2 linked regions of the Styela clava genome follow. The protein of the gene in region 1 interacts with the protein of each later gene in a pairwise test. Links are inferred from orthologs where the notes say so. Each region holds a gene or a part of one and is shown on either strand. Other genes may lie near its edges.

Region 1 (17,129 bases):
ATTTATTGCATTGCATTGACAAAAATATTTGTCAGGCCAGTTTCAACACAGTTTGAGTCATACCTGGCCCGCGGTCGAAAAAGTTTAGTGACCCCTGGTCTAAATAGTATGATTCTCTCCAATTTATGTACCGGTCATAGCCTATTATTTCGATGCTTTGTTGTCAAACATTTCAAACTTCAAACATTCTGGATTGATGCTATTTGCAGTTTTTCATACTTGGGTTTTTTACTGTTACATAGATAAACGAGATTTTTTGATGTACAATCTCGTATACACAAAGAATATCAAAAACTGAAAAATATTCATCTTTTATGCTTATAAATGGCCAAAATCACAATTTACTTTATCAAGTACTTCGAAGTTGAATAACGTTTTGGAATAGAGAATATAGAATACATTTTCACTAAAATTTTGCTCAAGAGAAAAAATTGCAGAAATTATATCAAATTTTTAGAGATTGAAATTGGTGATGCAAAATAGTTGGGAAAATGTTACTTTGATTGATGATTTTGTATTTTTTACAGCATCAGAAGTTAATATTTCATTTTTTTTGTCTGAATACCGAATGTCAATTCCCCAAAATGGTGATTTGTCAAATAAAAACATTTTAAATTATTCCTAAAATTTTACAATCGTTATAAATTCATGGGATGTTTACTTTCTGTGATTTAAATCATGACGCATTGAGGAGGAATTTTTACTTATTAATAATACCATTCAAAATATCAGAATGAAGTCTTATGATCACTAACTTACTTTCTTGATGCATTAGAAATTGTCAATCTCTTGGAATGTTCTTTCGTATCTACCTTTAATTGGTTGTCGAATAAGAGAACACCTTTTATTGTTGATTGATCAGGAGACAAGTACATAATAAAAGTATCTTTCACAACAAACCACCTGAAAAATAGAATACCAGTTGATAAATTGTAATGTCTCAATTGGGACAGTCAAAACAAAATACCGAATTTATCTACCCGGTACATATAATACGCACATTCAAGTTTAAATTTCACTTTTAAAATAAGGGGGTATGATTGATGATCCATGTGCTAAAATACACCCCCGTATTATCTATTGTGTGTGTTATGCAAGGAGAATACGGTACTCTATTATTTTGAATACATTCTGAAAAAAATATTTTTGAATACGAAATATTGAATCTTGAATGTATTCCAACTTAGGTGTTCCATGTTTAACAAAAAAACCTAATTTTTTTTTTTTTGAATTTTTGCAGCTTTCAGTAATTAAATAAATACAAATTTATAGCAGACTAGTATAAAAATTGGATTCTGGGTCACATTTTTTAAAAGAAAAAAACTGAACACAAATATTGAAATGCAGAAAAAAATAAAGTACAGACCTGTCACTCCATTTTTTAAGAAGTTCTCTGCATTTCACGTTGCAACATTTATCACAGAAATATAAATTGATAGTGTGCCCTCCAGATTTTTTTCTCAGTGTTCCCTCTCTAAATATAAAAAAAGAAGAAAAATAATCTAAATTGGAAATCTTACTAACAATAAATCAAATTAAAATATATCTAAACACAGATTTTAATCTCACCGCCGCACATATTTTTATCATGATTTTTAAATCTGCAAAACTTGTACTATAAATAGAGGGTAATCCGGTTTGCCATTATCATGTTTAACATGCATTATTAGAAACCCACACATCATAATGGATCAAATCTATGACAGAAGAATTTTGAACATCAGTACACAAAACCGTCATAAAATTATTATTTGCTAACGACATGCCATAGATGTCTTTCCCCACAAAAATATACTGTATCCATGGCCCATGTACGACTTCACCATACTAAAACAATATTTTCTGCCTTATAAATTCCGCAAATAATCTTAAAAATTTCTTAAAAGATGAATGACATGAGTAAGGTTTTCCTTCCATTTTACACAGGAATAATATGACAGTTGCATTTATGAGTAATGCACAACATCACTTAATGGCATTATGTATAGCATTGTTGACGTTTTATGCATGGATTCAATCCTTAAACTAAAAGTCAGACGTCATTGAAATTTTCTGCTTGAATAGGACGTCCGAAACTACCTCCTCTTACAAATAACCTTGTTTATCCTATCTATGACATCAAGAGAAAAATAAATAATTGAAAGATGAATGGAGGAATTTAGTATAAATGATTGCAAAATAAAACGCTTTTTTGTGAAAATCATTCTGTTAGCTTCACATATCTACCTAAATAATTGCTAAATTCTGATTCAATGACAAAAATAAATATTAAAATCCATATAAAATAAATAAATTGTGCTGGAATTAACCCAGTTGGTATTACAAATAAAAAATCGTAAATTCAAATCCCACACCCACCACATTAGCCAGGGGGTTAAAAATTGGGTTGTCAATGCTGAATCGAAAGAACCCAGTCTTTCTAAAATATTGTAGCTTCTTACTTAGCAGTGGCTTCTTGCACAGAGCCTTGTTTGGAGTGAAAAGAGTATAAAACAACATAATATGAAGAATTCTCGTAATATAAAAGAAGAATAAATGGTAGTATTAAAAATTCATAACATTTTATTCCAGAGTAAAGATTATTAAAAAAAATATTCACAACATCTCTGTGATTTATAGTAGACGATATCTGTTTGAGGTTTTTTATTCTTATAATAAGTTACCAAATAGATACATTACATGGAACTAGTTGTTGGTCTAAAGTTTTCTTCAAGTAAGAAGTACAACACTGTTATTTAAATTTCCGGTTGACAGCATTAGGTTTTATATATCACTTATACAGGTGATACTGAAGCTTCAAACCGGTTTGAAAACAAAATCGAAACTTTTTGCAATGGCACAATGGTCCGGTGTCTAATTTCTAGATGTGTTTATATTTGACGAAACCAAAAGTTATTTCAATGTTATACGTGCGGTATAAGTGATCCTTTGATATAAATTGGTGGGGTGACTCGCATAGATTGTACAAATAGAGTTTAAGTAAACATCAACGCATACAAGTCTATAAACATGGCACACCAAAACAAATAAGAAATATGGTCGTTTATTAAATATTAACTAGGAGAAATATTCAATGCCTAGCTGTTTTGATATTAAAGAATTTTACAGAACACTTACTTTCCTTTGGTCCCGAGATCTTGGATAAATGAGAATCGACTGACTTCCAAAAATTTTTTCTGGAATGTCAAAATCATAAAATTTAAGTGTGAAATAAGAGAATAATTCAAGAAAATACACTATGACAGAGTTGAGTTTTACTAGTACATTGGACTGTAAAGCTGAGAAAACTTTTCGCTTCAGGTTTCAGAAAATAAGATTGTTTCGAAATAATAAAGATTTTGCACACACAAACACACTTTTTGAGTTTCCATCAGTAAATTTTACTTAGATTATTACTGATTAAAGTCTGGAATACCAACTGTGTTAAGTCTGAAATGACTCCCTCTCAGAGACTTACATCCAATGTACATACCAACTTTGAGTCTGTGGCTCCACATTATATTTTTAATGCACATGACGTCAACCGGGCTTATTATTGTAGGAGACCGAATAAAATTCAAAATATTATAGGAATACAAAGAGAAAATGGTTAATTAAGCTACTCAAAAAGAAAAACATAGCTTACCATTGAACTGTGCTTCTTATACATTGTACTTTTTAATAAACTGTTGACATAAAGTTCAAGATGTTCCTGAAACACAATTAAAATCCATTGTTAAAAAATATATTGATCATTTCTCTTGGTATGCATATTCTACACTGGCAAAAAATCTACAAGGTAAATTGACATAGAATCCCACATTTTGCTGATTGCACTCCCAAAACCTTCAAATTCCAATAAATAAACTTTTATTTTGGGAGTCATCAGTGACTAACAAGGTGGTCATAGAGTAACAACACCTCAAGATATAATAAAAGTTCAAAGGGCATGTTGCATAGCCACTTTCCAACAGGAAGTAACCTAGGAAATATCATTTAGTTTCAAAGTTTGTGAAACATCAGCTCCAATTGCATACAACATGGCTTGTCCTAATTCTTAGCTAGAAAGTTTATTGCATAGTATGTACTGCATCACATGCATCAATTGCATTTATAAAGATATGTGCTTGTCATAGATGGTCTATGAAAAACAAAATATTTGAACTGATCTAGTTTTTTGAAAATCAAAATCAAATCTATTTATATGGAAAATAAACATTTTGTGCAATAGCAATTCGTATAAATAGGCATACTTCAACAATTCAAACTTTAGTTATTATTCATGAAGTTGTATATTGACAAATAGTATTGTTAAATTTTTTTCACTTTTAGCATTCACAGCAATATATTGCAAATGTAATGATTCAAAGCTATTTGGAAATCACAATTACAAAATACAGTATAGGTATGACATGACAAAACAGTTTCGGTATATACAACATTATATAACGGAAATGGAATCAGACAATCAAGCACAGAACGGTGGAATCATTTCCGGATAAAGTCCACAGCTATTTTAGCTAAGATGTTTCCTGGTTCCTTCCGTAAATAGACATACTAGTTAATTTTCTAGGCCATAACTAGGAATGTACATGACTGAATGAAAAAAAATTTAATTTCTAATTTTTGGAAACTAAAACCGTTACCAGGACATATCTATCACCATTGTCTAAGATGTTGAAGCTTTATTAAAATGGCATCTAAAATGTCAGTACATTTCAATGTCGTTTAGAATTCAGTAGTTTTGAAATTTTCATGATTCGTTGTCCGTTCAAAAACTCTCAATATTTTTTGCCTGCAGCTCTTTTATAAAATTACCTAGTTATGATTTTAAGGCGTTTCTACCAGTTGTTTTGTTTGCCATATTAAATAATGAAAAGCCAACAATTGGCAGCAAAAGAAAAATACATTACAGTCAAAATACTTTAAATTAGTGTAGTCATCAAGAATAATACAGTGTGGGCTTTCGCTCATGTGTTTCGGAGAACAAATCTGTGTGGCCCCCATGGCAGGGCCCTGATGGCCCAGTTGAGAAGGACTGATTATAATGGAAAAATGAAATTTTTTATTTCAATTGCTTATTATAATTTTACATGTGAACTGAAGTTCGGAACTACGGTAAGTAGATAATGGAACTATGAGATAACAAATAATTTTTAGTTTCAAGATCATTAAATTAAAAAATGGATGATATGAATGATAATAATAAGCCTAAAATTCAAGAAAACAACAGGGAAATGAAAAATCATTCACTTACTAATAATTAATGAGGTGGGATCAAGTTTGTCCCTTGGAAGCATTAGCACACTGTAACAATGACATTAATCCACGCGCATTCAGCAAAAAATAGATAAATATAAAAAATAGTGGGCAGAGAAGAAATGTTTACATTTAAAGCAACACTGCCCTAAAATGGTAATACAGGCGGGCACAAAAATAGCAAATACCTTACACCCAAGCAGAGTCAAAATCAAAATGAATTACAATGATATTGGAATGAAATATGAATATTCTAAATGGTTCATGCTCTACAGAGAAATTGGAAAAAAACCTTGTAAATTCATGAAAATTTAATTTAGTCATCAAGATTATAAATATTGTGTCTGCTTTTTTTGTTCATGTCAAATACATTATGACAAATTTTTAAAATAAAATATTCTCAAATATTCTTAAAATCAAGAATTTCACATTGATTCGATTATTCGGTGGAATGGGTATTCGTTCCTACCAAATCCATAATTAGACCATACAACAAAAATCTACATAAAGGTTAATTTTCTTGTTTCAATCTTCAAAATAACATTTTTCAGCAGTAGTTTCAAGAATTTTCTAGAATTACCACAATGATTTATAAATTTTTTTGCAAATTGTATACATCATACACAATTTTGATATTTGATCCACTTAAGTCGGAATAATGAAATTACGTGTCATTTGTTTTGATATTTGAAATTCCAATGCATAAAATGCCCTGAGGTAAAATAGCTACGACATTGCAGTTAGTTTACAATATCAAGCAATTTGCTGCATCCTCATTAACAATGAACTGAAAAGGTCAATATTACATGGAAGAGGCTTTACATATGATAACAATATTATATTATGAATAAATTCATGGTGTGGCCGTTTGGAAGCTTTGAATGTATATTTGTGGTGTAAAATAGATTGAAAGATAATCAAGAATTGCTTTTTCTTTAAACGCACTAATTCACAAGGTCCTAGACAGGCAGCCACTGAACTCTCAATTGTTAGCAATTGGAAATGGGAAAAGTGGGTAGAAGCCAATTTCTTTTATTTCTATCGGAGTCCTATGTGGCCCAATATTCAACCCCAAATTTTTTTTTCATATAATTTACTGGCTCACTTTTAAATGAAATACAGTAGAATTCTTTCAACAATTTTGCAGTGGTCATAATATTAGTCATTTTACCTTAGTATATTTCAGCAAACCTCTTATTTAAAAACCTGACAAGTTGCATAAATGATACTTGCAATGTAAAACAAAGCCTGACTCAAACACGTCATATATGCATAATCAAGCAATAAATGATATATAAATAATTTTGTTCTACCAAACTCACCTTGCGTTTTGTGATTTGTTCTGGTGATACCCACATATCAGGCCTCTTCGGAAATCTTGGTAATTTAATTTCTGCCTCACCTTTCCGTTTGTCTACTTTTACTGTTTTTCGCTTTTCTTTATGACTGCAAAATTTGAGCAAAAATTGAAAATAGATTGATAATAAAGAGGTATGCTTTAGATACTAAGAAATAAACGAATCAACAATAACATGATAACTCATATACCAACTACCAGACTCATTTTTTCAAAGCAAAAAATATCAAACATGAAAAAAGCAGCCAACTATGTGAACCCAAAATTTTATTAATTTAAATAGGCCTAGGCCTACATGAAGTATATTGATTTCAAACTCTCCAGAGTCGAGTAGACATTTTAGGCCAATCAGGCTGTCTGGTGGTGATAATCTAAATCAAACTTTCTGACAGAAAGTATAAAAAGCATTTGAGCTTCAAGCATTCTCAGTAGACAATTAAGAAGGAAATGCATGCACCATAAGCTTTCAAAATTTTTTTTTCAAAGTTGGGAGATGCAGTCAAAATAACTTTCAACCTAGAGTCAAGCATTGGAGTCAAATATTCAGTAAACCAGGAGTTTGTGGTCAGAGTCACCTTTGAGGTGGCTCAGATAGTTTCAAAGCGTTAAATTTTCCCGAATTCTCAGCTCTGGTTATAATTCAATAACAACGAGAAACCCATGCTCTATGAAAATCCAGGCCCAAACAAACCTATTACCATAGCTTGTTACCTTTTTGAAGGCAGTGGAATCTTCAATGATGTTCTATGAGCCCATAGTTTGTCATGGAGTTCACGAAGATGTTTGAAACGTTTGTGAACAATCCATGTAAAAGGACCATGACTCACTTCAATTGTATACCTAAACAGAAAATGAAGTCAATATCAAATCACTATTATCATCATCTTAGATATACAGAACAGAATATTACATTATAATGATGCCTAAACCGGAGAGCAACATATTCTGGAAAAGACATACCGGTAATCCAAAAGATACTAATATTAAAAACAACCAATAGCATTTCTGAAATTCATTCTGGAAGAGACGAAAGTCAATAAATAAATTACTCATAAAGCAAACCACAAACTCTCATCCGGTTGCCAGTCTAGATTGTGTATGGGAATAGATATCCTGTTGATTGTTGCATATGCATGGGACAATAATAATCATACATAATGATCATTGGTCCAGTTATAAATACAAAATCTTAGCTGCAAGTGGGAAATGCTTTATTCTGTAATCTAACACTATGTGCATGGAATATCTTAATACTGAGGTGAGAAGAACTGGAATTTCCAATGAAGCATGTTCAATTTCCTCAATTTGTTTTGGTTGTAATCTGAGTAGTAGCATCTAGTGGAATAATAGACTGGCTATCAGACATTTTTAAGTTAAAATCTAAAAAGCCGGTAGACAAACATCCCAGCCACTATGCCCAATGAAGGTTAAAATAATAACATACTAGTACTGAAATTAGCCACTCTGATATTTGATGGTGTCAATTATGCCACTTAGATATATGAGTTTCTTCATAGCATGTTTAGTATGCGAAGTGTATGCTGACACTATTCAACAAACAAATCTTACAAGTATGGATTCAATGGATGATGAAGAGCATTATCTCTTGATGCTTCAATAAATTTGAGAGTAATTGGCGTTCCAGATAGGAATCCTGAATTCAATCCAGCAAAAAGTCGACTTGGACTGCTGTATATCGACATATAAGGAACTCTTGGCTTGATTGCTGAAAATGAAAAAGAAGTTTTTATTGGTGCAAGTGAAGAATTTAAAATATAATTTATTTCAAGTTAATTCAATTCCTCTTCAAATCTAACGATTCCTAAAAATTCCCAAAAATTAGAAATTTCATAACTCATTATGAATCGATTCAAATATTCAGGTCATTTTGAACATCTTTATGATGGCAAATTTTTCAATTTAGTACTTTTAATTATTTCTAATATTAAGCATTGAATATGACTAACTTCAAATCTATTCAACCATTTGATTCACTTTGTACATCCCTAAAAGACAGCTTTCAAAATAAAATTGTTCCCAAATATTCCTGAACTCAAAGGTTTGTCTGAATATAATCTATTTTTAATCAATTTGAAAATATCTTTGATTTGAACATCCTTTGTAAAAACATGCTTTTGACTTATTTTTTTTATTTATATAAATTCATTTATTACTCATAACAGATTCGCTTTGCTTATCTTTATCTGTATCCAGATCTCAGTAATAAATAGCCCAACTTACCAAAAGCACTTGTAGTAGAAGGATAAGTGGGACTATCAGGTTCTTCCATTCCTGGCGATGGCAATGGAAGAACTTCATATCCCTCACCATCGTCTGACATCACTGTATCCAAGCGATCAAATGAAGGGCGGTTCCTTGCCCTCGCATTAACTCGATCTTGTGCCATATTGTCTTAAGGTGATCAAATACACTTACATATGCTGAGTAAACTAACCCAAACATTAATGATTAAAAACCACGCTGGTTTGCCAATATTGTCATTATTGAACTACAATAGGCTACGAGTCTTCATTGCCAATTTACCTGTGAATGATAAGGTACACTTAGAACCATAATTAACAAAGATATGTCGAATGTTTAGGTAAACGAAATTTAAATGTTTTTAGTATTAATTTTATATGGTGCCTTTTTTATTCACGCCTTCCACCCAAAGCAAGAACCTGTGCAAGCCGCTACTGATATCAGGCAATGTGTAAAGAGATATTATTTTTATCAAAAAGTTAAGGTTCTTTGATGTTGAATCACGAATGGCCAAAGTCAAACAGTTTTCTCTAGTTTTTGAGAAATTGAATGCAGGTCATAATGCTCAATATGATACGATAAGTTTTCAAATAAAACTATCCTAATTAGTTAATTAATTTTTAAACGATTTCCAATATTTCAATCGTTGTGGCTTGTGGCCAACTTCATGTGGAATAATATATATAAAATAGGTCAGGGCTATGTTATAGTGATTTTGTAGCACAACGTATTATTCGAGTAATATAAAATAAAAAAGAACTCTATATATCTATAACGCATTCGGAGGCTCTTTGAATCCTCACCAATTACTATATAGGTCATAACATATTTCATATCTGCAATGTGTGTTGGGAAAATTTCCTTTCAATCAAGCAGCTGCACAGACAATTTCCTTCATTTGCATAAAATAAACAAAGAATAATAACATGAATCATTGCAGATATGTATTATTACAATCATGTTCTATTCCAACAATGCTTTTTCTATTTTTTCCTTCACAAGTAATTTTGGACTATTTCCGGAAAGGAAATGACCTCATAACTATTCCACAATTAGTTAATTTCCTCTATAGACATTAGAAGATAGAAATTGTAATTCCATATTTTATTTTGTTACGGTGGGTATTTACATTCCTGCTATCATATTATTTAAAGACTAACAATATTGCAATAGGCATTGCATTGAATGTAAAAATTTATTATATCGAATTCAAAACATACCTTATTACACTATGTTCAAATTCAGAGCATATGAAATCTCAGTAAAGGCTGATAATTAATTTTTGACAAGATGCAACTAGGGAACACATTCATTCGAATAACTTTTGATAATGCAAAACTTAAAAGATTTGAAATTAAGGTATTCTCAAAACAATTTAATGGCAAACTCCAGAAGCAGTTAGTTTGGTAATTGGTCTCAAAGCTACGAAAGATAAAAGCAGTGCTTCCCAACAGAGAAGGATTTCGCTGTTTCAGAAGGAAAAATTTCACTTTGCATTTGTATGTAGTATTACTAATATTCTTTTTTTACTTACTCTTTTACTCTATCATTGTAATTAACTATTCAAACAGTATAAAATAGTACAAATCATTAGTATCACTAGCTAATGATTCAATAAAGACTGAACTAACACTAATAAAGAGAGGAATAGTAAGAGAGGAATAAAGAGGTATACACAGGAAGGAATTTGATGAAAAATGTTGGGAACCACTTAATTGAAGGATGTTGTATAAAAAATTTTGATTGATTATTTGACCTGATTGATTTTTCATTGTATATTTATAAAAACATAACAATAGGTTTTATTTATCAATGACTTATAATTAGGGTAGGCCTACATAGGAGCTACTGTGTTATTTTATTTATGAAAACATTCTATTTATAGCAATGACTGTAAAGCTAAACCTCTTACAGTCTTAAAAATACGCTACTTTGCAAATTTTGTATTTCAATGTATCTTGTTCTCCAAATTTATTCTAGTAATTTCCAAATGATGCACACCTTCGCTTGGAAATTTTTCTATACAAACAGCCATTTATACATTGAATGTTTTTCTGTTTATGGAATTAAAAGATATTGCAAAGAACATGAAAAGAAGGCATAATTTTTTCACATACAGAAACCAGGAAACCTTTCATTGATATACTAAGTTTATCTGAATTGCAGCATTGTTTGTCTGTTTACTTACTAGTACTGAAAAATGTACCCTATAATTAAATAATGACATAAATTATTACAAAACCCTTAATTGACCATTCCACATTCTGACATATGTTTTCCATTGTTGATCGCCATGTACAGATGTATGTACTGATGTAATACCAAAGTCTTATAAAACATATGAAATGTTTCCATCCATTCATCCTGCAATTAATAAAATATACGATTTCGTTAACGACGACTTCTGTAATTGAGTTGTTCTAAACTTCTGCGTGGATCTTCAACCTAAACTACGCCACATGCACCCACGAATCAGTTAAACCGCGACTGAATTATTTTAAGTTTGAAATAGGATTTGCACAGTTGCTCCAATGCAAAATCTCAGAAATTCATTACTGCTACATAGCGACTACTAGCGAACAATTGAATTACAGACAAGGAAACCGAGAATCGGCACTGTCATTGAATCTGCTATGAAACAAAGGACTTTGAGCCATGAGGTCGCCCTCCTCGTCAGGTTTATGATTTTACAACGCGGGAATTACCGTTTTTAAGTTGCAAACTCTTTATTATGTAAATAACTGAACTGGTATTATGAAAAGCTCTCGCAATTGGCAGTAAGAAAGATATTTTTAACCCCAAGTTCAAGGGGTAGAATGGGTTGTCTTCAATAGACAGGCGACCTACGTATGTAATATATATTATCGATTGTTGTTCTTCGCTAATGGTTCCGCCAATTTTCAGTTATATTTGGTTTCCTCTCCCCCGGGATAAATGTGTAAATATACTACTATTCTATCTGTACATCGCATTAGATGCTTTTGTCTATCGTTTGCTGTTGAGCTTGTTTTATCTTTATCAAGCATTTCCTGTCAGTTGAAGCAACGGACGGACATACTGACATAAAGCTATAAAGCTCAACACACGGCAGTACGGTACTGACATAAAGAATGTTATAGCTTTCAACAGCAATACATTGTGCTGTTATTCACCCTTGAACCACTATCTGACCGTGGCTGTACTTAGTACTGTTTCTGAATTGTGAGTTTTTGTATCATGCAAGTGTGAAAGAAATAACTTCAGAAGATTGAGAATTAACTACTACTGTACTATGAAATCAAAAGTGATACATCACTAGAAAGAAATAGATAGATTTCAAAAACAAGCCAGAAATAATGAAAATGTATAATTAAACTACGAACAAATACTGAAATAATTACAACGAAATACAGATTAAAATAATGAGAGAAAATAAAAAATGTAATAAACAGATAAATGAAAAATAGTTAATAAATAAAAACATGTCTTCAAGTTTCTTCCCAATTCATATTGCTTCTATAATATAGTTTTTTGTCACCAAAAATTCAGAACATCGTCGAAGTAGCTCACTCAATAATGCACCTGCTAAACCTGTGTTATGTTTTGGTATGCAGGTATGTAGTTAACATATACATGAATACAGAAATAATGTATATACACAGTTCGACTTTTTTTTTGTTATTATTTCCTTGTTAGACTTGCTTATGGGTGCCGCTGCTCGATAACCAAATTTGGTTTCTCGCGGCTCCCCTCACCCTGAAATGCCTTTTTATTTATTTATTGCAATTTGTATATCAAGTGTGCATTTAGTATGGTGAGAAAATAAACTACTGATTACTGATTACAGAAATAATGGACGTAAGAGATTTGACTTCTCAAAAACACTTATCATTTCTCGGCTGTGACGAAGCAAGTATTATTTCTAATATAGCATTTTCACTGTAGAAATTTCCACTAATAAGTTCCTGAATTGCTCAACTAACCTCCATTGATTCGTATCAATATTTTCCTTGTAACATAAATTGTTTAATTTATGCGAATGTGAAATGATTTTTTTTTACCATCAATTATAAACAAGTGAATGGAATGGGGACAGGATTTTATTCCTTTACTTCTTAGCACTACAGTCTTGAAGCTAAATAATTAGTTATTATTGTTACATATAACTTTATATAGTCTGATATTTTGTCCACTTTCTAAATTTATGATTCTTTATGAAAATCCACTTATACCACCTAAATAGTGAAGTAGCAATTTAAGTTATTAAAACTCATTCTTCATTCTTGTATATTTGGAACACAAATTCAAATGAAATTTTAATGAATTAGGCTAGTAGAAGTAATAAAGACTTACCATTGGCTTATTATGCCACTTACCGGTATTAATATATTTATTACAGTATGTGGTTGTGTATACCAGGGGTGCACAACTCAAATGAGGATATGTGCCAAATTTTTCAAAATAATCTTGTCGCGTGCCACGCACAATCGTTGGTATTGTAAATTAACTCCCGTAAAACAAACAAATTTCAATAATATTACATAATAACAAATATATATTTATTGAAACAATTTAATGTCCTGAAAAACTGCTGATTTTGATATAAACGTAATATTTTAGTGTATCTCATAAATATTTTTTTTTACAAAACCATTCGTGTGCAACGTTTGAGCGTATGGCGTGCCAAATTTGGCACGCGTGCCCTGTGTTGTGCACTCCTGGTGTATACCATACTTCTCTGTGTTAAAATGCTGGCAGACAACAGTAACTAGGTAGTATATATTGGCAATATCTTTTTCTTTCATTCTTGTTTACCTTTATCATCGATTTGCCAATTAATTTTTCCTGGATAATGATTAACGAAAAATCTCAAGAGAAAATTGTCATTAACTTCGTTACACATTTATATAACTAGTGAACTCTCGAAATAATGAAGTGTATTAATATGATATACGTATCTGAGCAAGGTTTTCTAATTATTTTACTTCTTTTCATCTTGAATAATTGTCCAAAAAAGTATAGAAATTTTACTTATTTTTTCAGCTGGTAAGTGAAGATGAATGTATAAAATAGCAGGGCATTCTAGTATGCTCTGCAGCATAAACTGACAAACATCCTACTGCGGTACATTGTACAAACTATTTATTTATTCAATAATGACTGTGACGTGAAAGCTTTTGAAAAAAAAAAGTAAGCGATGGATTCGATGTTGTCTTGGTACCAGCGGAAAATTGGTGCTTACGACTTGCAAATATGGGAACGTGCGGTGGAGATCCGAGAACAGCAAGACAGCGGAATGAAATCAATGGATAAAAGAAGTTCTAGTGTGAAGCCTGACCTCATCGACATTGACCTTGTTCGTGGATCAACGTTCAGCAAAAATAAGCCACAATATAGTTGGCTGGTTGTAACTTGTCAAGCTTTTATCAGAGTATCGTTCCTACCACTGTATGCTAAATGGTGGATTCAGCAGAGTAGTAAGCCGATCACATTGTTATTCTTCCTAATGTATATTCTTCAGTTTGTTGTTTTCTTCATTTACTTCAATGGAACAGAAGAGGAATTTAAATATATTTCAACTTCAGAAATAATGATGCCATCCATTGTTATGTTCTTATTGGGAAGTGTGCATTGTCATGTCGTATCCACAAATTTTCGCTTGAATGTACGAAATGATTCTCGAAAAATGAAGAAGTCTAGAACTCTCTCTTCTGCTTTACTTGAACCTGTTGTATGCTCCTCATCAACTTCACATCAAAGTACTCTCTCCCTACTCACCTCAACCTTCACTAATAAGGGTAAAGATAGTACAGAAAACAATAACCATTGTTCTAATGGAATAAGCAAATGCTCATCTGAACATAGTGACGCAGAGAGTGATACTCCTTTGTTAAAAGATGAAAATGTGAAATCCAGCACAGTCCACGAAAATGGAAAAATAAATGCAAGTCAAGAACAGTTGCCCATAGTGGAACAGTCTGAGGAAAGCTTGAACATTACCAATATGAAGAATGGTGATATACAGCATAAAAGTGTTGCGGACTGTGACAAATCTACTGATAATAAAAAAGACGATTTTAAATGTTTACGACAATCCAGTGTAGATAGGGAATCTGACGAAATCAGTACTGACAGTGTTGAAAATAAGAAACATGGTCGTCATGGTAATCGCCTTGAAAATCTAAATAGTACAAGTTCCAGTAGTAATTCGTCTGAACAGTCTGGTGGCTCGGATTCAGAAAGTACAAGCACAAATGACAATAAGACAAGATACAACAAGAAAGCACGAAAAGATAATTATTCAGCAACTGTTCTGCTTCCGGGCTCTGGTCCACGTGTTGATCGAATTAGCGTAAAAATTTGGGAGTCTAATCAGTGTAAAAAGGTTCAAGCATCGTTATTGGACATTGGAGGTATTATCAGAAAAAAAGTGCAGAATGCTTTTTCGCCGAGTGATATGTTTTTCATAGGATTTTGCTTTGCGATACTGATTTCATCTATTCCTACCTTATATCGCATTTGCTTTCATCAAAATGCTAACAATAGTGCAACCAGCCACACTGGTTCAACAATGGAGTTTGTGAAAGGACTGGCGGAAAGTTTATTCATGGTTACTCATGGAAACACCACTAACTTCAAAGTCATTTTTGTTATTTATGCTACTGCAATGAAACGGTTTATCTTCAGCTTCACTTTTTTTGTTATGCTTTGTGCTGCTCATAAAACGTTTAGGCAAAGACTGTTATTTGCGAAGTATTTCAGCCACCTCACTTCATCAAGACGGGCAAAGAAATCAGACGTTCCTCATTTCAGACTTGATAAAGTGGAAAATGTTCGATTATGGCTGTCTCTGAGATCGTATCTGCGACGTCGTGGGCCACAAAGATCAGTTGACGTGATTGTTTCTTCAGCATTTTTTCTTTCTCTCTTCTTGCTTTGCTTCATATCGCTTCAGTTACTCCATGACACTGATCTATACCTCTCTTCTTTAATTTTCTGGGAAATGACAGCATGGTTACTTGCCTTGGCTATATTTTTACTTAATTTTATGACGATCGGTGCCCAAATTAACAGAAAATACAGCAATACATCGATGCTGTTGACGGAGCAGATAAATTTATATTTACAAATGAAGCAGAAGCCTAATAAAAGAGAGGAATTACAGCGAGCGAACAGCGTTCTCTCAATTGCTTCAAAGCTTATAAAGGAAATAGAGATGCCGTTTAACATTTACGGTCTAGCGATGAATCCTCTCTTATATAATATCACAAGAGTGGTTGTGTTATCTGCCTTTTCAGGCGTCATCAGTGAAATACTAGGCTTCAAATTGAAGATTTGGAAGATAAAACCATGATAAGTTCGTTGAGAACTTGATAAATAAACTCAATCATTTAAAATGTTTGTTTTTTTAATTACTGGTTAAAACTGATACATAACCAAGTCGCCAATTTTTTTTCATATTCCATCTGTGATGGAGAATGCTTGTTGCAATTTATCATTGTAAATATTAATATTTAAGTGTTGTTACCTCACTGTATCATAGTATTGTATCTGTGCTTTGCTCAGTGTTCTGCTGCCAATATTTGCCTGGTGTCATATTTTAGCGATGCATAGTGCAGTGCAACATGCGTAGTTTTACCTGTTACTTTTGTTTTCTTCTAACTATCGGTATTATCTTCTTTAACATCTTATTTTTTGGTGCTTTGTTTTGTTGAATAAATTGTATGTTGGTAATTGTGGTACATTTAAGAATATGCTGCATATGAAAGATTCAGGCATGTTCAGCACATCGCTACTTTTTAGCATTATAAGACTAATTAATTATAACTGTACAATGAAGATTCCTTGAATCACCCACTGCCTATTGAAAGGCTTGACAAGGTTGATTGAAATGCCTGAAATACAAAACGCTCTGACATGCTCCCATTATATTTGCTTTGCATTCAGACCACTGGAAGCCCAATCCCATGACTTTTCCTAGCATTTCATTCAACCATAGATGATTGAGCCATACACACAATGAAAGTTCCTTTCTATCAATCTATTTCTATAATACTATGTTATTCCTATAAACATGAATTGGTGAGTTTGGACCACACAACAGCACTGTCTCATTGGAAAGATTTAAAATACAACATACTCAAGTTGAGAAAACACACTCTAGATCGGTTGATGCCAATTTAATTTAGAGAATTTCTCCCAAGTTACATGGCGGAAAGACAGGTAGTCGTTAACTGTTTTTGAAGGTTTTTGTCATCCAAATTCATGAACGTAATAACTTGGATTAGATTGT
Region 2 (16,581 bases), on another chromosome or scaffold:
CTATGAAATTAAAGCAACTTTTTTATTATATTTCGTTGTAAACCTATGATTTTTGGGGAATTCCCTATATATACTATTTTTGCATAAGGATTTTTGAAGCATGTTTTACAGAAAATGTGCAACCTTCGTTAGTGGGAACAAGCTGTTAATTAAAAAAAAAGAGCTCGAACGTTGAATAAGTAACGTTACGTCATGGTGCCAAAGATGCTCTCGATATCACTTGGATGATGTAGTGGGATTGATCGAAATGACCAGTGGTTCCGGCATGACGATGCGACCCCACACACATTCAACTGGCTGAGAGAGCGATTTCAAGAAAGGCTGATCAGCAGTGACGTCGAGTGTGCATCAATAAATCGGACTTGAATCCTCGACAATTCTATCTTTAAGAGCAATTCTGAGGACAATGTGTATCAGAACAATCCCTAAACAATTGCTGATCTAAAGGCTACAAGTACAGCAAAAATCAGAGAGATCCTCATAGACGAATGTGCGCGAGTGATTGGCAATTTTGTGCAACAGATGCAAGTCTGTCTCCAACGCCGAGGACGGCATTTGGAACATAACGTGCAAGACGCCTAGAGTTTTGAATCTTGTACCATCACACACAAAGATAAGTTTAAGTGTAGACAAAATGGCATAATTTAGTCCATTTCGTAAAAGTAATTGAGAATTTTATGGGTTCTGTTTTTTGGAGTCAAAAGGGTGGTAGGCTATTATTAACTAATTTGCTACTAAGTTTTATATCTTATTTTGGAGTATTCTTGTATCGTATCTCTCCAAATGGTTCGCCAGTTATAATGTTTAGTATTTTCTTTGTATTCTAGAACAGTGATTCCCGAAGTGGGCGATATCGCCCCCCAGTGGGCGAAAACGATACAGAGGGGGGCGAAAAAGTCTAAGGGGGCGATTTCACGAAAGCTGTTTTATGTTCGGCGCACTTAATTCTGTACTCTGTGTGCATTCGCGGGCTTGAATCATGTGAGCGATGTTCACACGCGAAAGGATTTCTGGTCTCGTCTTTGCAGTAAGGTAAGGTAAGGTAGTTTACGTATCCCAGTGGTCGACAAAATACTGCCGAAGTAAAATAATCTGGCCCGGGACGATTCACTGAATGGACCTTTGACCGCGGAAAATTCTTTCCATACTTTACCATTTGAAAATTTTCGGTGCTTATTTTAAGAGTGGTTTCGCGAGCTGTGGCCTGTAAAATGGGGTATTTGATTCAAACTATCATTCTAATACACACCATTTAACAATCTGTTTTTTAAAAGTACCGATAAAGAATTTTAGCCTAGTCTATCACAGCTATTTCTACACTAATTTTTGATTGCTGTATTTAAACTGAAACTCATAGAAAGACAAACTAATCATTGACTTATTTCATTTAAATTTCCGAAAAACAACTAAATACTAACGAATATAATTCAAAACGCGAAAATGAGGTAGTGCTCACGACCACCCCCGAAAATTTGTCCGAGTGAGAGTGTCTGACCTCCTGCGAAAGGGGGCATTGTTACGTTTTTTGCATCTTGCTGATTGGCCAATGTCACGAAGTAAACAAGGAAGTCTATGCCCGGGGAAATATCCAAACGGCGGTTTTGACGATGAAATTTTTTTATTTATAATCTACGCTCGAGGAGTAAATTACATTTTTTTACGTAACAGAATTTATCGTGAGACACGTTTAGAGTAAATTATACTATATGCTAACAATTTAGTGAACAGCCACTCGTTTAACGAGCCTACAATTTAATTATAATTAGACAAATGGAAACACGCAGAAAAGTTGATGCTGAGTGCAGGGGTTCAATAGCGCAGTAAATATTCGAATATATTGCAAAGCAATAAGGAAATAAAATCCATATTCTATTCGAGAGATTCATCACTGCTTGATTTTTGTAAGAATGTATCTCCTTAAAGAAAATATATATTTATCAAAATTTCACAAATCGTGCGAAAATATTCACTTCGATGTTTGGAAGTACATATTTGTGCAAACCATTATTTTCGAAAATGAACATTACAAAGAACAAGCAAAGAAGTGGGTTTGGTGATGCCCATTTAGAAAATGTTTCAGTCTTGGCGTCGTAAAGCTATCCAGCGCGATGCAGCAACAAGACAGTGTCACATTAAATGTCATTGTAATATTTTTTTAATAGGACGACTGAGTTGAGTTCACGATTGTCGCAGTTTCCGCGTGTGTTTCGTTTTTAACTCTCAAAAAATATATGCGACCCGCAAAAGACTAGCAACCCTGAATTTTGTCCTGCGAGCGACATAAAATTTGTCGACCCCTGGGCCGTAGCCGATAGTCAGTCACGGCTTCTTCCACATCCGAGTCCATGAATCCAAAAAAATGGCTGGTTAATCATGGAATGGAGGCCGTGATGGGATGAGGAATCGGGGATGGATTTTTCCGAAGTATTTTGGTGCAGGTCATCAGGCTGTACGAATGAATGAAATGTTCAAAAATTATTATTATAAGTTTGGGAAAATTAACTTTGTTCTTCTTATTTTAATGTGAAATGTGGTGAATTTAGGAAGTGAAATGCTATAAGGCAAGAGTACACGGCGGTTTTTGAGAAGGTAGGACCCTGGATTTTTTTCATTTCCGACCTATTATATGGTGAAAAAGGGGTTTTCAGCCGTGCTACTATTGCTATTAGAACAATGAAATCACCTTTCCATCAGTAAATGGGGTAATTTTAGATGTAATAAAAAACTCGCTGAAGAACACCAAGCTCATCTATCTCATTAAAAAACACTATAAACTATGATTTGTCTTCTTATTTGGTCTGTAATAAATTCGTTTCTGACTTTATATTTTTTTGTAGTGCAGGGGGGCGATGAAGTTGTATAAACTACTTTAGGGGGGCGATGGTCAAAAAAGTTTGGGAACCACTGTTCTAGAATACTTTTGGATGTTCTTGGTTCTGGTCAACTCAGTACTTGCGTTTAAAATAGATCTATAGTCAGGCCTACATTTTATAGCATCTTTCAGGGTCATCTAAATAGGGGAAGGTGGGGCACGTTGGGACATGGGGGCACAGTGGAAAATCAGCTCTCACACTGATACTATATCCGCAATCCTGTCCGCGGTTCGATGTTTCTTCGGTGAGTTACAACGTCCCCGCGAACGGACAACGGACGGGTAAAGCAGCGCAAGCTACGAGGTGAAATTGGTTTTAGGAGGTTGAAACTAAAATTTTACCACTCCAGTTATTTCTTTTTTTTTACTTTAGCCTTCCCAACATGACAAACCACCGTCTGATAATTTTCAGCTTCAGTCCACTGTAAAATATTCATAACGTTGAGTGGATGTGCCATCCGAATTCCGCCATGGGATGGTCTGAAAATAATGGTCCGGGATTCAGTGGAAAGAAAATGCCCTACAGGGCACAATTCGACAGTGTTTGATACAATAAGTGCTTAGAGACCTAGAGATGCGGTATATTTTGTGTAATATTATGGTTTCTTCCGACCCATGGCCCAATATGGAGTATTTCCGAGAATCAATAATATTTCCAGATTAGGATTAGAGGAAGAAAATAGTCAAATTTGTTTGCGAATTTTTTTGTCAAAATATCTGAACTATTTTAGTTGAACATTTTTTTTTAAATATTTTTAAAAATATTAAAGCTTCAAATTTGAAGTTTCCCTGTTCTTTAGACGTTTATGCTGATTAATTGCTTATTTTTAAAGGCATACCTAGTTGAATTCTGACAGACTGACCCATTGTGCCCCAGGGTCTGTCCGAATGTGCCCCACAAGTGGGATACAGTGGGACACTTGACAGACGTTTTTCAAAGCATTTGGGTAGTAAGATGTGTGTTGCAAAGGAATTTCTTAGTCGCTGAATAAAAACTACATTTACCCCTCTATGCATTAGTCCCGCAAACGTAAGTGAATATGCATAATTAACGGCTTAAAATATGCAAAAGAAAAAAAGTGTCCCAACCTTCCCCACTTTCCCCTACACAAAACGACGGCACAAGTACCATGCCCACTCTTCAAAGTAGTGGTTTCATACATAAATAGAACGCTAAACAATTATTCGAATTGTATTTGGTTTCGTAAAAGTTGTAAACACGATTATTTAACTATGAACTTGTATATATATATAGTTACTTACGGTGCCATATCGCGATGTCACTGGCGCGGCGGTGTGGCTCAACGGGCTAAGCGTTAGGAATACGCTCGCCACCGCACCTCTAATTACTCTGCGTGGGTTCGCAGGTTCGAATCCCATGCAGGGATGGTTATGTGCGAGAAGATTGCTGGGCTCCTCGCCGTCGTTGGGTGGTTCACGTTACCGCTGGTCGGTTACGGCTTCCTCCACCACCAAGTTCATGCTTCCGAAAACAAACAATATAACTAATCCCATACCCGACTTGGAATAGTAACCGGACGAGAGGCCGTGGTTCGCCATATGGATAAGCCGTCTGTCTTATCGGCTTTCCTCTCCCCGGGATAAATATGTAAATCTATCCTATCCACTATTGATAGGGCCTCTAGTACGGTCCATGCATTTATATCAATAATATGTAAATATGTCTGCAGACTGCAGAGGCGATCATCCGCATTCGAGGTAATATTTAAATATTGTATACAATTCACTTCACTCAACAATATCGAAACATTTTGATTCAAATGCTGTCTGTTTGAAATTCTGTTAATGCATCTTTCAATATTAATGTTGCTGTCGATGAGCACGTACTCACAATCTGTCGTCTCTTACACAATATTATCACAGCAGACAGCACCTCATCTCGGATTCTTATCGCAACTTGTCGACTTTTATATGATTTTTCACAGATCTATAGTGATTGCTCATATACGACGAAGACGAGAATTGAAAATCAATTGAGGCAAGTCTAGTCAAACTCAATTTTCGCTCAGGTAAGTGAGACAGTGGGAAGCAGCAAGTCGAAACATTTACAAATTGTGTAATGTTCTGATCTAAATGAGCCATCTTCCAATGTTACAGTTCACGACTGAGTCATTTCGCATTAATCAAGTCGAATCAGTCCAAATATATACGTCATTTGAATATATTTTTCGTTTCCAAAAAATGTTACTCAAGTATAACCCGAGTCGACACACATGCCAACCCTTTTCATACGATATTCTGTGGAAAGATAATCTGAGCATAAACAATAAATAACACTTCATGTTTATACATCCAACAGTAATTGTCATAAAAGTGTGGTGGCATATTGCTAAACGAGATTAGATAACACTTTTTAAACACCTCGGGTCCTAGCTCAGTCTGGCAAGACAACAATCCAGTAAATTGCGGTATAAACGAAAAACATAAACTGAGTAATCAGACTGAACCAGTGGCTATCACTTTCGCCTAATTTAATTGGAATATCTGATTAGAGATCTTAAGTTGTTCTAGTCAGGGTGTAAGAAGTCTGTCTTTTTGTTGTTTTGAATGATGACAAGGTATCAACTCCTTCATTCATATATATTGCCTCGAAAAATGTGAACTAGTGGGTAAACCGTAGCACATATAGAACTTAACTATATTTGCATCGCATGGTTAAGATCTCGGACGAAAACCCATGAGACTACCTTGTAAAGGTGTGATAAATTGGGTAGGCAGTACCGGACAAGAAAGATAAGGGCCCTTCCTAAAATAGTATCCTACTGCGTAGAATTGGCTGCTTGAAGAGCCTCGTTTGCAGTGTAAGTATGATGAACGTCTCATAAAACAAAAATTATGTATTGGTCTCACTAAGAGCTTCATTCAACTATTGGTAATAACAATATCGGATAATTTAATAAGTTTAAGCATAGTGGCGATTTTTTCACATCGGCTATGGAAAGGCGTTGTAAAATTGTTTTTAAATTTACTTGTTACTCTGACAGTATTGAGGTCGGGGTTGCTACAAATCCCATATCATGCAAGTGTCAGCTCTGTCACAGCAATGAATCAAATCGTCGTCCTTAGCAAGTCCGTGGCAGCTTGTGACTCAACTATCAGTCGCATATTATGGCTTTTAAATGGTGACACACAATTGAATTTTATCAGTAGTTAATATAACACAAAAAGCAAAACCATTACGCTGCAATGTTTTATTGTGTTTATCCTACATACAATTATTTTCCGATCAATTTGCTTTAAGTAAATTGGGTGAAAATTGCTGCCAAATCATCCCATTCTTTGTTGCCAAATGTGTTGAGGAAAGGATACTCATATGGATGTTCAGTCGTTTATATTAGCATTCGGTTCTCAAAGTTCGGAAGGAAAATTCTGCAATTTTAAAAGTAAAACAACTCATGTCATACATACTTGAACTTGAAAACTCGCTTTGTCACTGATTTAATAACAATTTATCGATCGCCTACGACATATTGAATAATTTTTGCATTGATTACACATAGGGTGGCAAAAACCCATACTGTATATATATATATATGGTATATGACAACCCTGATTATCTTGTCCCAAATTCCACAATCAGTTGTGTTAACTCTATGTATATCTTACATAATATTATGAAAATACCTAAAAAATACACAATTTGGGTAATTAATATGACTCTTAGATTCTAGAAGCCAATGTGAGTTAAGGAGTAAAAGTTAAAACCGAGCTATACGTTGTAACTTTGGAATGTGAACAACGGATAAGCTATAGCGTGACGGAAATGCCGATGATTTCGTCTCGAGAAATGTTTTTATTCGTCGGTTGTCTGGAAGAATACGTCATTCTTAGTTAAACAGTTATGTCTGTGCGATGTGTCTAGTGAGGCCCAAATACTATCACAATCCAGAGTCTGTGTGTGCTTGCGAAGTAAAGTAGGCATCCGACAGAAGTGAGTTTTAGAGAAAACAAGTTCCCACACAGGTGAAGTTCAGAATTTACCTTGTAGCGTGGGAGACATGGGAATGATCAAAATATTATTGTGTCGAGCTTATGCTAAAGGCCTGAATGCTACCAAGAGCAGAGGTATATACTGTACAGCTGTATATAACTCAAAAACTGCTTTTGGATTGTTGAGTCCGGTAGGTCTGTAGGTTATAAAAAGTAATCCTCAGATAGTGTCAGAGTGTGTGTTTTATTGCCAATCATCCAGTGTTGTAGTTCAGAATATTAAAAAGAATTGGTGTTCATGTTAATTAGGTTGGTAAGACGCCATGTTCGATTTCGGAAAATATACAGCGAGATCAGGTTGTTGTAGTAAGCAAACACCCTATGACTCACTTGAGTAATTATATGAATAGTGATTAACCTTTAGTAATTGATAGTTTTGTCATTTCGATATAATTTGTATAATATTCATATATGGAAGAACATTCATTTAATTTCTGACCTGATAAGTCGCACTAATTCGAAATTTAGTCTGTGTGGAATTGATGACTCAAATCTAGTCAAGTACTGAACGTTGTTGGAAAACACAGTTAACCGTAATATCTGAGTCTTCAAATATTCAAACGCAACTGTTTGAAAAGTCACATCTGGTTTTGATGAAATTTTATAAGCGACAGAATATGGGACACAGATAATGCGCGCTATTCGATTGTCTACCTCGGGGACTTGATACGAATTCATCGGTTTTGTATCGTTTCCTGTCGACAATGGTGTGTACTTAAGTGTCGTACTTCGCCTTATACGTGACTTTCTGATTTTTAAAATTACAGCTCGACTGCTGAATCAAACATTAAGGTATGTAAAACGCTATTATGGGAAACTAATTAGTAGGCACAGACCCGACAATTGAAACGGCAACTCTTGCGATAGACATATAAAGAACGGTGTTTTCGACGATGATGTTATTTACCAGAATTTGACCAATGTAGAACATGAACCATGGATAAAATACGACTTACCGGTGCATTTTACAACTTGCGATTGCTTGACACAGTGTTGATACCAAACGAGCACAGTAAGTTTTGTAATTGCAAATAAATTGTAAAGATTTTAACATTCGGGTCATGCCGGAGACAAGCGTGTATTATGTTATTTCGTTTATACTTTTAAATGATCTTTCATGTACAAAAACTACTTAGTCAACGATAATAGTTTATAAATTAGGAAGGAGTCGTGTATTGAACGGAATTACCAAACTGAGCCAAATAAATTATGCTGCACAAACATATTTAAATAATTTTGTCGATTTCAATTCTATAATTTGCTCCCAATAAGTCATATGATTTATATTTTATCTCCGGATATGCTACATAAACATATTTAAATAATTTTGTCGAATTTCAATTCTATAATTTACTCCCAAAGGGTCATACGATTTATATTTTATCTCCGGATATGAAATTTATATTACGCGATAACACGTACTCCCTAGAGAACGCGGTTAGTATGTCGATAGAATAATAGACTTGGCGTTTTTTAAAATAACAATCTGCCGGTGGTTCATATAAATGTAAGACAGTTTTGGGAGTAATGAACAATTTTATATGTTCAATATTTTCCAGTAGGACGATATTCCTCCCCGAGAGACGACATAATACAAAAACTTTTCCGAGAAAGAGTAAACTCTGCGAAATTGCTGGTGGAAGCAAAATAAACATTCATTCAGTCGATATTTCATCAAAATACCTAAATACAAACAAAGCAAGTAATACCCGCCATAAAATTCAATCGCATTTATAACCTTACAGTTACGAGTTTATTATTAAAATTATAAAATGACAAAAACAGATGAAGAACTTGATAATCTTATTGCGCTTTTGAGCAAGAAGATAACTGAATCTGATTTCCCGCAACTACGAGATGCTTCAAAAGATGAGGCAATCAAGGAGTGCGATCTCAAGCGTTTGTCGTCACCAAAGGAATGGTTGACATTTCTTCGTGAAAAGAACCTTTTGTCCTCAGGTTGGTAATTTGAAGTTTTAGGAAATTGATAAAAAATTATTTTAAGTGCAAACCAGTTCATTGCTATTATTGTCCAGACTCTAATTTTTGTTACTATTCGAATAGGAAAACAAACGAACAATCAAAACTGGCTTGAAGTTAAAACCAGTAAATTAGCTGTATAATATATTATAATATATAATATAATAGACCTTAAGTCATTTGAAGCTTGTCCCACACAGGAAAAAGTGGTATAAACAAACGATTTTTACATTAGGCCTCATGATCATTGTTATTTGAGTATAAATTTTTATTTTTCACAGTTGGGGCCAAATTGCGTATTGTTTGTCAAACAGCTCGTTATTTAGTTTTTTTTACTTAACTTAAATAAAAGGATACTTTTGTGGAACGATTTTAACGACTCCTCAGCCATTATGGTCATGCATTTTGAACGATCCCATGCTAGCTATTCCTGCACCAATAATTAATCCAGCGAATAATACCTTTTGTATATTGTCACAACACGAACATTCGAGATTAAAAGTCCACTGGAAAACATCGAACTTTCTGGTCTTGGTAAATTGTTTCAAAAAAACAAAATTTTATTCATTTTACCAAAAGTAAGGAAATATATATTCAAACTTGCTGAAATTTGCAAAGTTTCCCAACGTACAGCACTAAAACTAGCATAAATGCAAATTTACGCTTTTATAAAAATAAATGCAAATTTATGCTTTAACGACCATATTATTCTCCACATGGCATATTGCTAAAATTTGTTCGTACATGTCGTGTCATATTTAAAATGATATGGTCAATGAATATTATAATTTATAAAATAATTTTTGTATTGGCAGATGATCCGAGTTTCATCGAACATGTTTTCGAAATCTGTCGTAGACCGGACCTATTAACAATTGTTATGGAGTACAGAATATCAAATTTAGGTCTTCAAAACGAAGAGGAATTAGGGAAAAAATTAATCCGGGTGCGAACCTCAAAAAAATATAAAGGTTCTCCAGGTAAATAAAATATTTATTACAATGCAAATATTGCATTGGCATATTATACAGTTATAAAAATGAAATTAAACGGCTAGAGAATTTTGAGAAATATTAAAAAAAGAGTTGTATATATCATCCGTCTTATTAGTCTTGAAAAGCAATTTACAACAAACTCATATATACATGTATATATATGTTTATGCGTTATCCCAGTTCACGACAGTTGAGCAATAAATGCGTTCAAATATAATTTGCCAAAACGTGTGTCATATTTGAGAACATTTATCGAGTCACTTTTATTAATTCATTACTCTAATGTATTTTAAGAAATTGTTGAAGTACCAAACTCCTTCCCAAACTTTATCGGTGAATGCTTCCATGATCATATCGACAAGGCTTCATTAATAATTGACACATATATATTTTGTAATGTTACGTTAAACGCGTTACGTTGAACGTATCTGATTCACATTATTTGAAGTACAACATGATGTATAAAAATGTATATAAAATTGTAATATTTATTCATAATATAAAATATATAACGGTAATTATTACTAGCATCTCGTTTTATTTTTAGACCAACCGGATATCGAACAAGGAGAACCGGCGATAAAATTATCTGCCCCCCCGAAAAATCGACGAAAAAGCTCATCCACTAACTGACTCATTCCCATGGGATATTCGTTTACCAGATTGAGAGTATAGCCGTAACATTTCATATTACAATACAAATTTGTGTAATTCTCGTCATAATTACCATACTTATCAATGTAATTATTTTTAGCTGCTTTTTTTCGGTACTCCCGTAGTATGTGAACCAAGATGGCGGACACCGGGACGTAGTATGTGTACCAGGTTAGGGTTAGGCCATAATTTTATTCCAATTTTCTTTATTTTAGTTCTATTACGATTTCGGGGACTAGTCAAGTGACATCCGTAGTATTTGTACCTGAAATTATGGCCTAACCCGGTACACATACTACGTTCCGGTGTCCGCCGTCTTGGTTCGCATACTACAGCAGTACCGTTTTTTCTTACTAGCTATGATAGCTTTTGATAAAAAAAATAATAAGTTACTTAAAGTCTCGAAAACAATGTAGCAAACTATTTTTCACGGTATTCTGACGCATGATATTCGTAAGATTTGTGCAACTGATTTTATGTAGCGTTTTACACCTTTTATTGGAGCGAAGCTTTACCAAAAAGCAATCGATACGTAAGCTGCGGTTATTACGTGTTGTAAGTACCAATATATTTCCGTACCCACACGGTTTATTTACACACTGAGTGGCCTGCAAGGTGTTGAATCTGATATTGGAGCATTGTTTTTACTGCGTTGTGTTTATTTGAGCGCGGGTTCGCTGCACATACTTTGATAATGTAAATTTTTGATGCTTTTTCTGTATCATTTGCTATCTGTGTAATTTATGTCGTTTATCTGTGAATACATTTGTGCTGAAAATTTCCGCGTGAAACTGTATCTAGGCTTCGTGTCATTTGTAAGATTCATTCTGAGTACCATCAGCGTGACTTGTGATAATGTGAGGGTGAGTGTACATTTTGTTTAGTATAGTAAAATGTATTCAAAATCGCTAAACAAATTTGATATTCAAGTTTTTTCAAATAAAAAATGTTCATGAATTAATTTCCAGCTTTCTGTTATTATTATTATCTTAATTTTTTTCCCACTTATATATTTTGACACTTTAAAAATCGAAATGATGTTAAATGCCAGGAGACGAACTTGCGACTATTCATAGTTCAGTTTTACTTCCGAGCTTCCCTGTCAAATGAAGCAATTGGCACCCATCCAATCATTTTCTTGCTACGTAAACACGCGATTAAACAAACTAAAAATAAAGCTTTGCTAACGTTATTAGAAGAAAGATTTGAAAAAATTACGCTTGATCATAAATAATAACTCATAAAAACAATTCTTCATTGAGCATATAAATGCACGGCTGTCATAGTAACATCTTTGTTGAAATCGACTCGCTGTAGAGAAAACTTTACTGTTAGATGTAAAAATCATCGACCGAATAGTGTTTAATAATTGCATTTTTTGGATGTTTTTATTCAACGTTCTGTGCCATCAGAAAAAGATTGTAAGTTGATTTTGTCTTGAATATGCAACAAATGCAACTTTTTCAAATATAAAGTCCGTAGCGAGACGTAAACAAGCCAATATGCGTCATATCAATGAAATGGCTGAGTGTGTTATATCCTTGATGAATAACAAAAATATCCCATTAATATCATATGCAGAGCCTGGCCATTTGATGAAAATGCCGAGCGCGGTCAATGATATGTCTTACACAAGCTCATATTCAGCTTCAATCTACTCACCCATTCAATCAGAGCGTAATCGCGTGATATATGCCGATATACCCAGCTATTTACTCTCAAAGGCCCACTCTCCACAAAAATAACCATAAATATTATTTTACCATTTTGATATAATATAACTACATTATTTTTTGAATAGAGCGGAAAAACATCTGGAAGTAGTAATTTGGAGTCAAAATATCATAGTAAAAACATATTTGGTAAAACGACTATGAAGTCGATGGAGTGGATGCAATATTTTGTTTACAAAATACCGGCATGTATAGATTCATATAATTCTCGGTACTGAGAGCATGGAGGATAGGATTTAAAACCATGTGTAACATTGATAGCGGATGAGAAATAAAAATAACATATTTAATCAAACTATTAATGGCAGTAGGGACAGGTGTATTATTATTTACAACGTTATATATAGCAAGTCCATACCATACCATGTCGGCCGAAGCAAAAAGAATGAGATAAAATATAAACACAACCAATATCATTCCGATATGCTTAGCAGTCTTTGCATATTTTTCTTTTCTCCCTACCTTCGGGCGGCAGAGGCGATAAATAATAGGTGGATACGTTACAAGTACTACCAAAGCTGTAATGCTCATTGCCACTAATACGAGAAGCATTGCACAATTCATATACAACTCATCAGTGATCAGACCGATGTCTCTTTCATCGTTCTTCATTTTGAGCATTCTCAGACCTATCGGTGCTATGTGAAGCGGTATAGTTGCTCCTATGGAAAGAATTAAGCAAAAAATGGACATCCATACACCCGTTTTATTCTTCATCCAATCTCTTGCTTTGAATGGAAAAAATACGGCAACAAACTTCAAAATCGATAAAGAGGAAACAATTAAATTTGCAAATATTCCCGATGTTGTCAGCAATGTAGACCTCATTTTGACGTAAAATTCCATAGTTTCTTGAAATGAAAGATGATGTACGTAACTATAAATCTCCACTCCTACAAAAACTGTTAAAGCGATCACGTCCCCGATTACAAGACTCAACACCAACACGTTAGTTGCAACATTGAGTATGGTTTTTCTATAGCGAACAATCAATGCTAATAGAAAAATGTTTGCAATGTACCCAAATATTACAACAATCCACCAAAGAATGTCCGATACCAGCAGAAATATTTCCATGTCTTCAACAAGCTGTGCAGCATAATTTGTAAGCGCAACATAGTTATTGATAAAACGAGTTTTTGAGCCTGGATTTACTCCCACCGTTGTAGTATTACTGTCGTCATTCGGATTTACTGTTGAAACCAAGTCGAGGGGGAATATTGACCCATCCATTGGTATCTAAATGAATAAGACAAGCTGCTAAAAAGAAGAGGACCAGTTATTTTTCACAAAATGATTTGGTGGATAGAAATAGAACCCAAATCAAACATAGAACTGTTTCACGAAACAATCTCATATATGGTATCAATTCTATCGTTTTAATTCAAGTGTATTTAGCACTGCTATTTGAAGATTGCTAAGAATATGTATAAAAGTAAATAAAACTTTCATGTTTGACACGTGTGATATAGCTTGATTACGTGCAGCTGTATGGACCCGACCCTTGACCCCAGAAAAATTCTCTACTCTATATTGCGAACTTTTTTATGCGCATATTACGAATGTTTTGGAGAGCTGGCTCTTAGACGCTGGTTTACATGTTCAAAACCATCTCCTTAATTAAAATTATTCAACCACGTGGCTGCGAGACCAATTTTTGATTACTGCCATTACTGCCTCTAAATACTTCGATTGTCAATATATCCTATATTGACAATCGAAGTATTTAACTATTTTTGGGAACACAACTGAAAACAGGCACATATCACGCAAAACTACGAAAACGAGGCAATGTTTACAACCATGCTTGAATATCTGTCTGAGCGACTGCAGAAATTGTAATTGTTACGTCATTGACCACTTATTGCTGGTTGGTTGTGATTACGACAATAAACAAGGAAATCGATACTCGGGGAAACATCCATTATATGTAAGGATGGCAATTTCGGTTATAATGCATTGACTGTTGATGAGACAAAATTGATTGGATAACCACCGAATTTTACTGAAGCTTTCGGCGGTATTTTTCAACAATACCAAAGGGGTTTCATATTTACGACCTGAATGCGCACTTGTTGAATGTCGTTTCATAGCCGTTCTCAAAATACAGTCAAGGAACTACGGTAGATTCACGAGAATTTATCCTGACTGATAACTCATTGCTTAATTTCTATATTTTTAAGTGTTAACTATCTAACTAATATCGGTTAACCAATCAAGAGGCTAACCATTGTCCTTCATAAATATATTAGATTTTGCAATGTATGCACGATATAATTTAGTATCCTGTAGCATTGTATTCTGGATATAAACATTACAAAGTCCACTGTTTCTGACTGAATACTCTAATGTGGATAGATACCACGTACAAACTATAGGTGGTAAATTGACCAATTATTAATTGAGAAAAGTCATAATTCACTCTGCCTCAGGCTACCATTCTCATACATTTAATCATTAAATACAAGTCTAATATAGCTGATTTTCATATAATTATATTTTGTAAAATTAACAAGAATTGGCGAATGCTGTGGTTTCCTGTGTGATAATATAAAGTGTGTCCAATATAGTGTGAATAATTTTGTTGCTAAGATGTGTATATGTTCAAATAACTGTTTACTACATCTGGCATTTAGAATGGAATCACTAAGAGCGAACAGGGAAAATCTCATAATGAGTGTGTTTAACTGGTCAATAATTAGGTACATGTGTTAATAAATATTTTTGTGTGGTTAAAAATAAGTTTACTTCGCTTTTCTCATTTTTTCATTGCCAAAAAAGGCTTCTAGTTTATTCGGGGCATATTTTTCAGTCAGAAATTTGAATACATGGTACCGTCTTTTAGTATTTTATAATGTGTTTTGTCCTATATTTAATATGGAATGAATTTCGCAAAATCAGTTCAGATTTTGACTTATGTCATGTGACTCCGACCTCTCCGTACAGTATGTTTCCTTATTTTGTCCGCTTTGGAAACGATCCTGCTTTGACGACTTCTCAGCAATTATTATCCTTGCGTTTCAAGTTTTCATTTCCGTATACATTTAATGACGTTCACTAATCCGGATGCCGGATCGCATAGAGACACCGTACATATTATGTATTATGTACAAGAATTGAATCGCATAATAAGCTATGAAAAGCAAGAAATTTTCGTCCGATTCTTCGAGTTCGTCAAACGTTTTGTATTGTACCCTTGACAGGGTAATCCTAATTCCTCTGGTCTAATTCATGGAGGAGAAGCAATGCAGGAAACTATGCTATCAATATCACCTATAGGTATTATCGTCTGGTAGTACAAGGAACTGATTCTGTTAGACTTCAGTGGTCAAGAGTTATCAAAATTCACAGTAACCATCTATAGTCAACTCAGTCTCTTTGTAGTTGCTAGAGGAGAACCGATATGCGATCTGCGATCCGATGGTAATATACAAATTTATACCGTGAAAAGTTTGTAGCTGACAACTAAAATGTATATTAAACATGTCTTTTTTTGCAGATCAACTTGAATCTGAATAGGAGAATTAGTTATAGCTTTATTTTGAACCACCGCGAATTGACGTCACGTCCTATTAGTGACAAAAAAAACATGATCTCTTTCGAAGCTTTTTAAGCCTTCCACGAATTCAGGTAAAAATCTACAATTGTCACGCATTCTCGCCTAAACAACTAATCGTATAGACGCCAAGTATAAAATTCATTGTATCACATACAATTTTAGGAATTGTATGATAACGCGAAAAAATGATTTGCAGTAAAGTGGGATTGACCGTGTAGGACACAGTAGAAGAATTCGAAAAACTTCTACAACTGTTGCGTGCCTTACAGAGAATGTGGTAGTATGAAATGGAATCAACCTTACAAAATATCGTAAACAATAAACCAAAGAATGCCAGGAGCATATTTTCCGATAATGAATATGTTATATTAGCGACTTACACTATTCAACTCGTGAAAGATAACACGACACCTATTGCATCTCGGGTTTTGCTGTGTACTGTAACTGTATGTACACATCTGGTCAATTGATTTTATGCTTGCTCTCATTATGTAGGAACAGGAAAGTTTTATTAAAGACTGCAGTCAACCTACTATTGCTGGGATTAGCTATATGGAAGTTGACAATGCTTGTCGTTATGAGCTGTTTCGAAGAATATGAATTGGTATACCTGAATTTATTCGACTATACAAAGTTGTACTTAAAAAAATGAAATCTTCGATGATGACGACCTTAGGGATCTTCACCGCTTTATATCTTCTGCCATATAAGTTCGTATGAGTTATCCATTTAAAGCAAATATTTGGCTGAGGAGACAGAACGGTGTTTGGATTATAT

The links.
Region 2: the proteins of phospholipase D1-like (region 1) and astrocytic phosphoprotein PEA-15-like interact in a two-hybrid assay, tested with the Homo sapiens proteins (2 studies listed by BioGRID). The link is inferred for Styela clava from reciprocal best matches to the Homo sapiens genes PLD1 and PEA15.

Annotation. Positions count from the first base shown.
Region 1 is NC_135251.1:23,602,688-23,619,816, forward strand, and holds the start of phospholipase D1-like, read right to left. Parts: upstream 9,160-17,129; 5' UTR 9,003-9,159; coding exon 8,837-9,002; intron 8,322-8,836; coding exon 8,165-8,321; intron 7,436-8,164; coding exon 7,307-7,435; intron 6,685-7,306; coding exon 6,561-6,684; intron 3,692-6,560; coding exon 3,626-3,691; intron 3,177-3,625; coding exon 3,118-3,176; intron 1,475-3,117; coding exon 1,367-1,474; intron 904-1,366; coding exon 760-903; intron 1-759. Other genes in the region: protein PHTF2-like, read left to right, coding at 14,034-16,190. UniProt on the Homo sapiens protein: Function as phospholipase selective for phosphatidylcholine. Implicated as a critical step in numerous cellular pathways, including signal transduction, membrane trafficking, and the regulation of mitosis.
Region 2 is NC_135253.1:16,808,589-16,825,169, forward strand, and holds astrocytic phosphoprotein PEA-15-like, read left to right. Parts: upstream 1-8,609; 5' UTR 8,610-8,655; coding exon 8,656-8,842; intron 8,843-9,678; coding exon 9,679-9,843; intron 9,844-10,405; coding exon 10,406-10,491; 3' UTR 10,492-11,290; downstream 11,291-16,581. UniProt on the Homo sapiens protein: Blocks Ras-mediated inhibition of integrin activation and modulates the ERK MAP kinase cascade. Inhibits RPS6KA3 activities by retaining it in the cytoplasm. Inhibits both TNFRSF6- and TNFRSF1A-mediated CASP8 activity and apoptosis.